Notamacropus eugenii: one gene and its partner. The protein of the gene in region 2 binds, or shares a complex with, the protein of the main gene of each other region. Links are inferred from orthologs where the notes say so. Each region holds a gene or a part of one and is shown on either strand. Other genes may lie near its edges.

The links. The genes of interacting proteins can lie anywhere in the genome.
Region 1: the proteins of MEP1A (region 2) and FETUB are in contact, whole or in part, in a cryo-EM structure (PDB 7UAI), measured with the Homo sapiens proteins. The link is inferred for Notamacropus eugenii from reciprocal best matches to the Homo sapiens genes MEP1A and FETUB. Residues at the interface, in NP_005579.2 of Homo sapiens: Asp126, Gly127, Cys128, Trp129, Ser130, Glu131, Val132, Gln145, Gly146, Cys147, Tyr149, Ile152, His155, Glu156, His159, Tyr164, His165, Gln167, Ser168, Leu184, Gly186, Tyr187, His189, Asn190, Asp192, Tyr194, Tyr214, Gln215, Phe217, Ser218; in NP_001362516.1 of Homo sapiens: Phe109, Phe110, Lys144, Lys145, Tyr148, Met149, Thr150, Cys151, Pro152, Asp153, Cys154, Pro155, Ser156, Ser157, Ile158, Ser196, Ser197, Gln198, Trp199, Val200, Val201, Gly202, Tyr205, Phe206, Thr242, His245, Trp246, Phe249, Val250, Ser251.

What each region holds. Positions count from the first base shown.
Region 1 is NC_092877.1:377,028,899-377,036,519, forward strand, and holds the start of FETUB (fetuin-B), read right to left. Parts: upstream 3,004-7,621; 5' UTR 2,889-3,003; coding exon 2,673-2,888; intron 1-2,672. UniProt on the Homo sapiens protein: Protease inhibitor required for egg fertilization.
Region 2 is NC_092873.1:111,180,703-111,188,135, reverse strand, and holds the start of MEP1A (meprin A subunit alpha), read right to left. Parts: upstream 3,032-7,433; coding exon 2,963-3,031; intron 2,878-2,962; coding exon 2,853-2,877; intron 2,763-2,852; coding exon 2,721-2,762; intron 1-2,720.

The DNA of each region.
Region 1 (7,621 bases), on a different chromosome or scaffold from region 2:
TTCTTTGCTTTGTATTCTGTTTCTTTGAGTACATATAATTTTCCTCCTCCAACTTAGATTGGAAATCCCATGAGGGCAGAGACTGTGCCTTTTTGTTTCTAATCTGTATCTAATGTGGTTCTTTGCACAGAGTTGGTGCTTAATAAATGTTTGTTGAATGAATAGTAAGGAATTTGCAAAAAGCAGACCATCTGACCATCTGCAGTGGTGAGCTCCCATAGACCATGAAAGCAGAAACCGTGAAAGATACTCTATGTCCTTACCAGACCCCAATGATACATGGCTGGGCTTTAGCCTCCAGCATCAGAATTATAAAGGAATCCCACTGAATTGGGGATTTATTTTCACTTCATAACCAAAGTGTGGATCTCCCTTCTTTTATGCTGGATTCAGATACATGCACTCCCTGGGGGGGTCACATAAAGTCTCAATTTTTCATCAGAACCTATGCAGGCCAGATATCAACATTCTCTGAGTAATGGAACTGGAGATGTTTATCCTAGATAAGAAAAGACTCAGAATGATGATGATAAGAGTCTCCAAGTATCTGAAGATCTGTCACATAAAAAGGGATTTGACTTATTCTGCTTGGCCTCAGAGGGCAGAACTGAGAGCAATGGGTGCAGGTTGAGGAAAATTCCATTTGACTTTGTGTCAGGAAAAATTTCATGATAAGAGCTTCCCAGGAGCAGACTGAGTTTTCTTCATAGGCATTGGTTTCTCCCTCTCTCTGGATCTATTCTCTGCTGCCATCCTCCCTGCTTTGTATTCTTCAGGCAGAGAATCACTTGTGGGGGACACTGCAGAAGGGCTGCCTGGACAGGTCTAAGTTGGAGCAGATGGACCAAAATTAATTCTCCATCTCCCTCAAGCATTCCTGATTTGATCTTCAGGCATTCCCCCCTCCACTGGCATAGTTCATAACCACTCTATAACTTAGTAGATGATCTTTGAGAGCTGTAGTCATCTGACCAAATATCCATCAACCTGGGGCCAAGCTGGGAAGGAGCATCACCCAATTCATTCCCAGAATATAAGCTCCACAGTGCCTGGCACATAATATGCACCTGATACATGTTGGTTCGTATCATTTATTCCTTATGTTGGCTCTCAGGTAGACATAGAGTCTATACCAGCTCTGTCCTTGACACTTTTCTGGCTTGGCTGGGTAGGACAGGGGAGGAGGAGAAAAGCAGGGGAGAGGGTAAATGGGGCAAGAGGGGAAAAGGTCAACCCTTTACCTTAGGAAGTATGTTATCAAATAATTGGTGATTCTATATTCATCTCTTAGGTTAACTAGTTTTCTTCAAAACTCAGCTCAAGCAACACCTTATATACCAAGGCTTCTTGATTTCCCCCCTCCACTTCTGCAGTCCCTTTCCACCAGTCTCTAATTCTCCCCCACCCATTACCTTGTAGTCATTCTGTCTCTATTTTTTGTATGTATGTGGTGTTTCCTTCCATTGGAATATAAGTTCTTTAAGGACAGGCACTGTTTCAATTTTATCTTTGTATTTCCAGTGTCTGGCTCATTGAAAGTGATTAAGGAATGCTTACAGATGAATCTACAGGGCAAAACAAATCTTATCCCCCCCCCCCTTTACACTGGGCTACAAAAATTTGGAAGCTAATTTGATGCTGGTCATTGGATAGCTAAGTGAGCTCACTTATAAGGCTTCTCCCATCTCTCTTCAGGAGGGTTCAATAACTGGAATCCACTTCACAGAGTGTCTGTTGCAATGTTGAAACACCCAGCTAGGGCCAGACCCTGCCCCAGAGGAATCTGACGCTTCAGAGCTGCCATTGACTCTATTGTGTACCTGAACAAGGATGCCCTCTGGGACATCCCAATGATTGCTCTTTCAGTCCTTTCTGGAGCCCTTCCAGTAAAAGGGACTTCCTACCTCCTCAGGATCTCACTCCACCTCTGGATCACTAATCACAGCCAGCTGAAATCTGCCTTGAAGTTTTCTGCTCACTGCTCTTCATTTTCCCCTATGGGAGCAATGAGTCCCAGACAGACCAATTCAGTTAAAAAGCCTACTGTGTGAGTGATATCAAACTAGGTGCTGTAAATTATCATTGCAGGAGTGACACACTCTGCCCTTAAGAAACTTACCTTCTACTTGAGACACAACATGGAAGCGGACAAATGAGCATCAGCTCCAAAGCAGCTTGGTGTAGGGATGGGAGTGACAACTAATGACCTGAATGGCCAGGATGACCTGGGATCGAGTCATCTTTTGGCTGTGTTATCCTGGGCAAGTCACCTCAAGTCTCAGTGTCTCTAGGAGACTTCCTAAGACTAGAATTTGCTGATCTGTATGCATGAAGGGAGGTTCCTACCCAGAGAATCCCTCACACCAATGAAATCACAAGCCTGGACCACTGACAACAGCAAAAGGAGGCAGGACTAATCAGTTCAGGGATCCTCAAAGGATTACTATGTACTGAAGGCGACAGCTGAACTGAGCCTTGAAGAAAGCCAAGGATTTCAAGAGGCTGTGCTGAGGAGGGAGTTCATGGCAGGCAAGTGAGGCAGCCTGTGCAAAATCATAGAGGTGGGAGATCCATGGCCAATTCAGAGAAGAGAGGCGAGTCAGTGTGACTGGAACACAGAATGTGTGAGGATGTCCCCACCACTGCCACCACCAAAGAACAGTGTTATTTACCTGATGATGTTCACGGACGTCAGCCACACGATTGAGGCTGAACATGTAACCTTCCTTCCGGTCTTCATTGATGCCTTGTAGAGCCAAGTCTGCCATGGACAGGACTTGAGAGTCATTGCAGCTGGGGGACAAGAGGAGAGGAGGAACAGGGATTGAAGTACTCCAGCAGCTGGGCACCAGGGCCAAGAGGCCCAGGAGGAGAGAGAATCTGATCATTCTTCCAGACTGGGAGGCTAAGACAGATGGCTGTTTCCCTCTAAGTCCTTTTATACCCCAGAATCCAGGCTGAACTGACTGGCTGCTGCCACGATCATGTCACCCTGAAACCTACAGGTGATAACTGAATCAATAAATGACACATGCCTTAAAAAGGTAGGGGGAGGGCAGAGTGTTTGTACCTCATATTTCTGACCATTCTCCCATCCAGATCACTGATTAATCAGCTTTGTTTTCCCAACCATTTCCAAAATGATTACCCAAGAAGTCAAAGCAAGCCATCTGATCCAAGTTCTTGGCAATGAACTCATGAGAGTCTGGCTCTCTCATGGTGTCCTCTATCTCCCACCCCACCCCCCATATCCTTTAATGCGTGTCCTGTTATCATCAAAGGGCGATATGTTCTTGTAATGATAACTATTAGCATCTTATTATAAGAGGGTGATGTGATTATATTTACTAGTGCACATAGTAGGTGTTTAATAAATATTAATTCACTGACTGACTAGTGTCTTCTTAGTTTTATTAGTGTTTCTTATTATCAAAGAGTGACATATTCTAACTTTGTCCCCTAATTCAAGGGGTCATACCCTACTCTGTATCCTCCACTGTCCTGACTGCACCCAGGTTCAAAGGTCACAGGAAAACTCATTCTGTAAAGCAGAAATTCTGGCCATAATTAAAGTGGGCCCCCACTCACCCATACTGCCAAAATCTACTGATTTCCTTCTTTCTTTCTCCCTGGGGGTTGGAGGTTTCCTATGCCAATGCAATCATAGATCTGGTCCATCATCGTCATCATTTTAATTCATCCACTCAACAGGATTATTCTAAGCCTCTCCCGCTATGTCCTTGCCATGATACCATGCTCTACCCTCCTGTGAATACCAGCAGGCTTTCTAGCCCTTAATCTGGGTCCTTCAGGTCCCAGAATCCCTACTAAGTCCACCACACTACATTCCATCACACTGATGGGCCCTCCAGCCCACTATGTTCTCTGGCCATCTTGCTGCCATGCCTCCACAAGCATTCTTCCACTTTCCACCTCTTGTTCCTGGTACGGTAATCAAATCCATGCTACTACTCCTGCAAAGGGCATATGATGCCTATAGATTGCCCTGTGACTCTCCTATCCTCCTGGCAATCACTCCCCTATATATTTTGTCTTCCCAATGACAGTACAGACCTAAGTGAGGGACTATCTTTTTGGTTTTGTATACTCAGTGCCTAGCCAAATGCCAATTTGGCTAAAAACCAGCTTGTATGTAGGGGATTATGTGTATTCAGTCTGAAAATAGCTTGAAGTCAGAATAGAAGAGCTTGAAATACTAAAGGAAGAGTCTGGCTTTTATCCTGGAGGGGATAGGGACCTTTATTTTTTAGTCTTCTGTGTATTTATTGTTTGACAGCAGAATGACTGTCACAGGTAACTGCCACATCTGGGCAAGATCATGTATATAAGGCTTAAATCCAAATGGGGGGAGGGTCATGATTTTTTAAAATATTTGAACACAAATTTATGGTCATCAAAAGAGCATTTAAACTAAATGATCTAAGTTGATCTGTGTCCTTGGCCCACAGTAACTGCTATTTTCCCCAAAACCAATGGAATCAGTATACTGAACCATCATCCATTTCACTGTGTGAATGACGGATCACAGTCAATGAGCCCCCTTTTCTAAGAGCTCTTCCTGGCTCCCTGACAAACATGATCCACCTGGAGAAAAAGACAAGAGGAATTTCTTGAAGGTCAATGGTCCAAAATGCTAAGTATGGTTAAGTAGTCTACAATATCTATATTCACTGGTTCCTTTTTTTAGTTAGGATGTACTTAGATGACTTTCTTTAATTCATCATACAGGACAAGCACAAAAGCTCTACCCATGCCTCTAAGAACATTGGACCAGGCACCCTTGAAGAAAGTTTTGCCACCTTCATCTTTAGCAATCTTCTTCCAGCAGTCAATTGTCCCAGTGTAAATATCATCTCCTTTGTGCCCAGACTGCACAGTCATTCAAAGTCTTACTGTATCAAAGGGATAGGAGACCACACCTGCTTCAGTGATCACTGCTTGCACAATCATCCGGCTTACCACAATGACTGCTCTTCTGATCTGGGAGCATACCTTTCGATGTATCGTAAATTCCAAAATAAGCTTCTCTATGGATAACGATACACTGCATGAGACATTGAAACCTTGAGACAAGTCATGAATTCCATCAGACTTGGTGATTTTCACAAGGCAATCTCCCAGGCCTTGAATTCTCTGTCAGTGCCAGATTTCCCAACATCAGCGGCCAAACACATTCTTGAAAAATCCAAGGGGTAGACAACTCAGAGAGAAGTGGCTCCAGCCACACCACCAGAGGCAAGATTGCCAGCAAAATACCTCCTGAATTGTGTGTGCTTGTCCACTTCTCCCCCAAATACTTACTTTAGCTTTAAAGGCGAAGTTAAGTGCTTGGGTGGGGAAATGTCTGATGACATTTGCTGTTACCCTGCCAGAAGGAAAGCACTTCTTGTTCATTTGGAATTCAGGCTGCCTTTGTACTGCTAATCAGCAGCAATTTTTTTACTTACATGCTGCACGTGCTATACTAGCCTAACTCTCTCAGTGGGGGCCACTGCAATCTTGGAGAGAGCAGTGATACCACCAGCCAGGAAGTCTTTGGAGAAGGAGATGGCCTGTTCTGTCATGGTAACAGAGGCAGAAGGTGTTGGAGTTGGAGAGAGAAAGCCAGCGAGAAAGGGCTGGAAGCTAGGGAACTCCTTGTTGCTTTAACCTAGACCTTTTTGAGCAGAAATGTGACAGGATGGAACTTTATTTTAGGAAATTAGTTATTAATTTGGCAGCCACATGGAAGAGGGATTGGAAAAGGGTGAGACTGGAGGCAGGGAGGTCAGTGAGGAGGCTAATGCAGTAGCCAAGGGGAGAGGTCATGACTGATTTAAGGGAAAACCATTGGTTGTGATTGGGAGGGCCAGTTTCTGCTATGGGAGCAAGCGATCAGATCAAACTGTGGTGCAGCCATAGCCCCAGAACATTCCCTGTTACCAGAACCCAGCCATAGCCCCAGAACATTCCCTGTTACCAGAACCCAGCCATAGCCCTAGAAGGGGATCTTTTTTTTCAATCATTAAACATAAATACAAAAGCTCAAATACACAAGGAGAAAGAAAAAAGGAACAGGTTATAAACTTAAATATTTAATTAAATACAAAATAAGAAAAAGGAAAAATCATGCCACGTGCACAGCAGGACATGAGAGTATTCAAAATATACAGCAATAAATTTTCACTTCAAGAAAGCCTATACAATGAATACTACACATTGTGCTCAGCACTTTCCATCTTTGCTTCCCTGTAAGTTTGCTTTTGTTCTCTGCTGTGTGCTTTTTACTTTGTTCTTTTTCTCCCCTTCCTCCTCCCCTACCTCACCTACCCTCTAGAAGGGATCTTAGAGGAAGCCCAGAAAGGGCAGTGACTTGCCCAGGGTCACACAGGTCATGATGGGCAAGCCACCTGACACCCAGTCCAGAGGCAACTCTCCTCCATACACTGATTCTGGTTAGTCCATTTGGCATGTTTGATGTTCTCAAGCTAAGTTATCACGCAAATGAGTTGTTATTCACTAACTCTCTGAGAAAAACCAATAGACACCCACTCAGCTTTGATCCTGCCCAGGCAAGACTTTCTGGACTCAGACAGCCAAAGGCTAGTGAACATGAAGGCTTCTCTGGGTCTCCAGCATAATTTAGCAAGTCCATGGTCCATTCGTGGAGGTTGTTCCATTCCCTATTGGTGACCACATATGCCCCCAAAGTCGAATTGGACCAAGAGCATGGCCAGGTTGTAGAGCAGTCATGTGCTTCTAGAGAACTTGATTGATTTGGCATGTCCACACCATGAATGCTGAAAGGTCCTGGACACCCAAGCATGGCCTGGACTTTCAACACTTAAGTAGGTTGGGACTTTCCAGTGAGGTCTAGGTCCCTTGGGGACATCCTCAACTCTTCCTTCTTCCTCTCCAACTCCCCCCTTTCCTCTACTATCAGTCCCCAAGTCTTATAAAAATCTTAGTTCTGCCAAGATCATTTGGGTGATATTGAGCAAGTCACTTCACTTCTAAGCCTCAGCATCCTCCTCCAAAATGGAGAGGGGAGCTAGGTAACCTGTGAGCAGCTTTCCTCCTCTGATTCTAGGGTCTTGTACTCTATCCCTATTCACAGACAGCTCGCTAAAGTTCAATCCCTTGTGGGCTCTCACTTCACCCTTGTCCTCCAGTCTCGTCTCAATCCCACCTTCCACCTACCTGACCAGCTGATAAAGCGATATTCTTAAAGCCCAAATCAGACTAAAGCACTTCCTCACTCAAGAAGCTGTGGTGGCTCCATGTTGTTTCTTGGATCAAATGCAAATACTAAATCTCTTCACAGACTGAATCTAGTCTACCTTGCCATACCTTATACACCTTAGTCCCCTTCATGGACTCTTCCAACCAGCCAGGTCTTCTGGAAACATCTCCCCCATAATATTCCATCTTTCTCTAAACCTAACCCTAATTTTGACTCCAATTCCATCTCTGACTCTCCTTCTGACTCTGACCCTAAACTCATATGTGGGTACTTTATGTGCCTAAAATCTCCCTCCTACCCCCTTCCCTTTTAGAATAGCTCCCTCCAAAAATGACTTGTGTCACCCCTACAGAGGCTTTTCCTTGTTCCCCCAGTTGT
Region 2 (7,433 bases):
TATCATTCATTCATTAAATGCTACTCTGTTCTATACTTTGTATGTATCATACTTTCCTATTTCATTAGTTACCACTGAGGCAACCAGGATTATATTTGGAAGAATCTCATCTTTTTATGACGCTTGCTGCCCAGCTTAGTCTTCTGCACATAGAAAACCCTCAATAAATATCTGCTGTGTAAATGAACAAACTCTCAATTTCAAGTCACTGATTTTTTCTTCAGTCAATGTGGCATAGTAGAAAGAGTTCTGGACTTGGATTTGAGAGACCTTATTTTAATCATAGGACCATAGCATTAGAGGTTTAGAGTTTGGAAAAATCATCAAAAAGCAATCCTTTTATTTTAAGGAGGAGGAAACTGAGGACCAGTGAAGATAAAGGACTTAATTAAAGTTACACAAATTATCAGTGGCAGAGTCAAGATTTGGACCTAGGTCCTGTGATTCCATGTTCAGCACTCTATGTTATGTCATATCACTCTGACATATAAACTCTCAGACTAATCTTCTATGACTTTGAGCCAATCGTGCAACCTCTCTCAACCTTAGTTTCTTCATCATTAAAATGTAGATAAGTATCCACACCACAGATTTCACAGGGTTGTAAGACTCAAATGAGAACATATGGAAAGTACTTTGTCTATCATAAAGCATTGTACAGATGTCTGCTATTGTTATTTTGTTCATTACAGACAGAATCAACTTGGACTTAGCTAGCGCTAAAGCAAGTTTAGGTACATGTGGGTAGCCTTGCTCTTTAGGTTGACCCTGGACATTTTGGGGGGAGCCCTACCCATTAGGCTGACCTTGGAATATTTGGAGGAGCCCTACCCATTATGTTGACCTTATAGGCTTCATAGTAAAGATATTGTTGAGCTATAAATGAGAGAATTTGTGAAAAAAATTTAAATATATTTGGAGGACCAAAATTTAGAATTATATTCATAATGATTATGTTTTAATATTATACATTTAATATTAGTATCATATATTTAATATAACATATCAACATAATATATAGATAGGATATATAATATATAATTGTAAATTATATAAAATAACTTTATAATATATAACAATAAAATACACTAAAATATATAATATATTTATACTATTATATAAATATATAATATATACATAATATTTATATTACATAGTAATGTTTAATATAATAGATCCGCTGGCTGACAATAAATAACCAGGGGTGTGTAGTTGCAGGTTAACACCAATTCTAATGCTAATTCTATGTTTAAAAACCCAACTGAGTCATGAATTTCACTGTGTCTCTGAGAATAACATAACAAAGGTGGGGGAGTGGCAATGCATACAACTCCTTTATCTCCTTTTATGAGCTAAAGTGACATACTTTTTCTACAAACCGACAATCTCCACCCCTGACTACCTAGAGATTACATTGGTAAGCATATTTTTAAAAAATTGAACTATGCTGGAAGCATATTGAGTTACATCCCTTTCTATCACAGTTTGTGTTATAATACTGAAAACTCTTGTAGGAAAACCTTTTTCTTATAAGAAAACCTCTTTTTCTCCCCACTAGAAAACGATGTCATTTTGTCCTCATCATTCCAGGAGCGGGGGATGGTGTAGAGATTCTTAATCCTTTGGAGCTCATAATATCATCCTTCTCAATCTTAAATACCATCTTCATGAAAACAACTTCTTCTAGCCTTTCTTAAATCGTAATAAAAGAGATTTAGTTTATGTTGGATTCCCCTGGGTTAAACAGAGAAAGCTTAATGAAGCTTTGATAAAGTTTTCCAATAAAAAAAAAAATCACGACTGAGAAATTACAATAAGCTTTTTTTATTTGTATGAACAGATGATTTATACTCACCCCCAAATCTAATCTTAAATGGGTGCCCGTTTATTAGAAAGTGACTTAAAAAACTGATATATAAATCGAACTATACAGTAGCTATATTATATGACATTGTATTATATAATAATATGATACATTATTATGTTTGTATAATATAGTAATTGTGTTGTATACCTATTGTATAATAAGCATTTAGCATATATTAATTGAATAAAAAGTGACATATTCAAACATCTCACTTGTACAAATGGTTTTTCATATGAAGATTTCAGAGAAGTATGGAAAGACTCTTATGTGCTGATTCAGAGTGAAATAAGTGTCTACCTACATTCTAGTATGATTGAAAAACTACATGATCGAAAAGACCACTAAAACGAAAATAATGATGATCCCAAGGAATGGGACCTCCTTGACTCCTCTGACCTGAAAGTCAGGAAACTGCAGAGATAGAATGCTCATGCATTGTCAAAAAGTCCCAATATTGATTTTTTTTTGTTATAAGGAATGAGTTAATTGGGGAAGGAGAATATATACTCAAATTAATGTAATAAAAGTATGGGTAGTTTGTTGTCACAGTGGATAGAGTATAGGACCTGGAGGCTGGAAGACCTGAGTTCAAGTCTGCCATTAGATACTTACTAACTATGTGACCCTCAGCAAGTCACTTATACTGCCTAGTTTCCCCATCTATAAAATTAGTACAATAATAGCCCCTATCTCCCAGAGTTGCTGTGAGGATCAATGACATAATATTTGTGAAGCACTTAGTATAATACTTACACATAGTAGGTGCTGTATAAATATGAGTTGTCATTATTGCTCTTGTTTTATAAAGATAAAGCTTTTTTTAAAGCAATGAAGAGTCAGAAATACCACTTACCTTGGTTGATTTCTAAAATATCTTTCCTTTGCTCACTGGCATCTGCATCCAGGGGGAAAGAAGACATTATTACTATTGTCAATGAAAAGAGACAGCAAAGAAGCATTATCTGAACATTAAGAAAAAACTTACCATTTTCTTGGGAGAAGGGTTTGATCTGCAAAGAAATACACATATAATGGATAATATGCACAAAGGAAGAAATGGTTCTCAACAGCAGAGGAGAATGGAAAGCCACTCACCGATAGGGAAGCAGCAAAGGCAAACAGCAAGGTGAAGGTTAGGCTCCAGGTGGCCCTGGTGGAAAGCATTGCGGCAAGTGAAACAATTTTCCTGGGAGTGCCTTGTAATAAATGTCTCCTGACCTTTACCCTGGCTATCTGTTTCTGAACTTTGACCCTCCTCTCCATACCTACTGTAGGAATTTTTCAAAAATATGTTAGACTAACTAAATTAGTTCATTACTAAGTCTTTAAATAGTCTTTGTTCAGTGGGGAACCTGGGATGGAATTTACTTTTCATCCAAAAAGCTAAAGAATGAGAAAGTTAGTGGCACAGCAGTCACTCTGTTTTCTACAAAAACTGAGCACTAGAATTCCCAGTGGGCTTTTCCCTCAGGAGAGGCATATTTTGGGGATACAAAGTCAGGTGATATGGAAAAGGGGAATCTTTACTTATGTTGTACACTTTTTATCCTTAGATTAGGTGTTCTTTACCTGAAGTTGATGAACTTGTTTGTTTGTTTTTAACATTTTGTTAACTATGTTTTGGCACAATTGTTTTCTTTTTTAATCCTACATATTTTAGTTACCACATTTAAAAAAAAACGTTTTTCTGACAAGTGATCTGTGGGCTTCACCAGATTGTTAAGGTGCCAGGCATAGGGAACCTGCAGCCTCCAGGACATATGTGGCCCTTTGAATCTAAACTTTAGGTCTTCTCTGTGTGGCCTCAAGACTTCAGGTTCCCCACTCCTGACCAAAAGGGTCTGTGACACAAACCTCTGCCTTATTTTTTTGAAGGTTTATTTAATATGCCTGTTATGTACAGGATTCCCAGTAAAATTCTCTTTCCCTCTCCTTTACTGACTCTCAACATCTGAGATAGCTGTAACAAATGACACAAGTAAACTTCAGTCTTACTGTCTTGAATTATCAGCAAGATATTGACCCCATCGCAACTGCAAAGGACCATTGGGTTCTAGGAGCAGCTCACTCAAAGCAGCTCCCTGGGTCTCTGCCTTGTCACCGAGCTCCCTTTCCCACTCTGGACATTCAGGACTAGGGGCATACTAATCAAGTCTCTTCTCCAGCATGTTGCCTTGTGATTCCTTTGAGTCATCAGTCAATGAAGCCACTTGCTAAAATACCCTGAAGAAATTGAATTATACCTGATGATACTCTGGTAAGCTTTTTTATGGCTTTTTTTTTTTTTAAAAAACTATGCTCTTTTTAAATAAAAAAGCCATGCTAAGTACGCTCCCCACTCCCCCAAAGATGTGTCCAAGATAACTATTCTGTCACCTAATTATAAAGGAACTTAGAGGATACCTAGCCCAACCTAATTTTATAGACCAGGGCCATAATGAAGTGACCTATCCAAAATCACATAAGTAGTAAATGGCAAAACCAATTTCAAACCGACGTCTTCTGACTTCATATCCAGCATCCTTTCCAATATGCCATGATATACCATATTGCACCTTCTTCCTAACTTCCTTATTTCAGATTCGAGTATCAAGATCTTTTCAGTTACCAGGGTTTACAATACCAGAGACATTGTCTATTCTTACCTCTCTTTCAAATCTGTATTTAATAAGCCACCAAATCTGACCCATTCTAACATAACATCTTATGTCCATCCTTTCTCTCTACTCACAGAACTACCACCCTAGTCCTGGTCTTCATCACCTTACTCCTGAACTATTGAAATAGCTTCCTAACTGCTATTCTGACTTCAAATTTCTCCTATATCCAATCCACCCTTTACACAGCTACCAGACTGGTATTGATAAAGCCAAGGTCTTATCATGTCACTCCTGTGCTCAGGAAATTTCAGTGGCCACCTTTCACTTCTAGGTAAAATACAAACTCCTCTGTTTCTCAGAACCCCAACCCAGCCTACTCATATGTATGGAAACATATATTTTATGTAATTATATGAACATATGCATATGTATATATGTGTGCATGTATATGCACATGCATGTATGCACATGTGTATAAGTATTGTATTGAATCTGTATCTTGCATCTGTGTATGTTTATGTGTGTACGTTGTATGTTATTCATACACATGTGTACATGTATGCGTGTGCATGTATGTATGTAGTAATCATTCTTCTTCAGCCACTCCATGGTTCAGGTAAACTGACCTGCCTACTATTCCTCCATCATGCTGCCTTCCTGGTGCTTCTCACTCATAAGACTCAGTTGCAATGACTTTGTGCTGGCTAGCCCCCATATCTAGAATGCAGCCCCTCCCCTTCCACCTCAACCCCTTGAATCATGTTTCCTTCAGGAATCAGCTCAAGTGCCACCATTTACATCAATCAATCAATAAACATGTATTAAGTACCTACTATGTGTCAGGAACTTCTACCTGAAGCCCTTCCTGATCCTCACAGTAGCTAATGCCTCCCACTCTCCCCCCAAATTTTCTTTTTTTTTTTTTCTTTTTGGTATATGTTGTTTTCTCTCAATCAAAGGTAAGTTTCTTAAGGGGAAGGACTGAGTTTTTTTGGGGGGGTTGTCTTTATATTTCCTGTGCCAATTATAGAGTTTTACACAAAATAAATGGATACTAAATACTAGTTGTGTTACTGAATAGATGAATAGATGAAAGGTGGAAGGTCCCTTATTGCATTTCTCCTCTCTCTCTTTTCTTTTGCTACTATCCCCCCTCCAGACTTTTGCCTACCCTCAAGCACTTTGACCATTTTGATGACTGGTAATTATTGTTCGGAAATAAAACATTTTAATGAGTTCTCTGTACTCCATAACTAGTGTAGAGAAGGACAAGGAACATTAGATAGCTATCTAATTGACTCTTTTGGATAAACATATCCTCTGCTGAAGGGGTGGAGAATGGGTGTAGACTCATTTAGAGGCACGTGAATATAGGTCTTTTCCTATAGAATCTCAGTTATAAAAGACCCTTTTTGTTTTATGGCTTTGATTATAGCTATTACTTAGTTAGCTGATGTTTGCATTTTTAACCTAGTTGGATCTCAAAGGTTCCAGTGTGAACAGGGAAGGTCTGGAAACTTTGACTCTTCCTTGTGAAGATTTTGTGGTTTAGAGATGATAATGCTTTAGTCACTTTCATGGGCTCATCTGACTTTTTTAAAATAAGTTTTTATTAATGCATTTTTTATTTTACCATAATCTCCCCCCTGTACCTCTCTTCCTCCTCTTTCTAGTCACCCCATACAACAAATTGCACTTTAAAAAGTAGAAAAACCAACATAACTGATTGGATATTGAACAACACTCTAAAAATGTGTAACATATGTGCACCTTTCACCTTTGTATAATGAACTGGAGAAGGAAATGGCAAACCATTCCAATATCTTTGCCCAGAAAACCCTCAATGGGGCCATGAAGAGTTGGCCACAACTGAAACAACTGTACAACAAACACCTTTGCAAAAGGGTGAGATGGTGACTTCTCTGTTTTTGAGCCATGAGTGCTCTTTTTAATTTTGCAACATTGATTTTTGATTTTTTTGTATGTAGTTCTTTCCATTTATATCCTTGTCATCACTGTGTTTAATGTTTTCTTTCCTCTGCTTACTTCACTGTGTATCAGTTCATGGAGATCTTTTCGTGATTTTCTATATTCATTACATACATAGTTTCTTGTTGTTGTTGTTGTTGTGTTAGTCCTTCATTGCCAAAGAAGACCATCCCATCAGAGAAATGGTGACATGACTTGCATTTGACTTTGTTTTGAGTGAGTGAGGGCTGTGCAAGGTCGCACAGGAATATTATATTACATTCATATACCAGTATTTGTTTAGCCATTCTCAAAATTGGTGGACATCTCCTTTGATTCCATTTCTTAACTATCATAGAAAGTACTGCTATTTATTTTTCATTTATATTTTATATTTTCAGTTCTTTTATTTTTTCTTTTATATTTTATTTTTTTCTTTCTTTTTTCTTTCTTATTTTATCTTATTTATTTCTTTTATATTTTATATTTTCAGTTCGTTTATATTTTCAGTTCTTAACTGTCACAAAAAATACTGCTATAAATATTTTGGAGTATATAGGACTTTCTTCTTATTGGAGGCTTTCTTGGGACAATAGAGTCTCTGATTCAAAGGATATGGACAACTTGCTTGAGCAAACTAGGAGGTATAGTGGATAGAGTGTAAAAATAAGGGTCAGAAGACCTGAGTGTGAATCCTACTTCAGACATCTATTAGTTGTGACCATAAGTCACTTAATTTCTATTTGCTTCAATTTCCTTTTTTTTTTTTGTTAAAACAAAGAAGTTGAATTTGATGACCTTGAAGATTCATTCCAGCTCTAAAGTCATGATCTTATGATGTCATTATATTATAAACTCATCAGTTGTAGACTTACTCATGAATTGGATTTAAGTGAGGCAGAGTTATGCTAAGTCATCAGCTTTGTTCTCCTTCCTGAGTCATTGAAGTCCAAAGGCAAAACAGAAGTCAAGATAATTGGCGATGGCCCAGGATACAG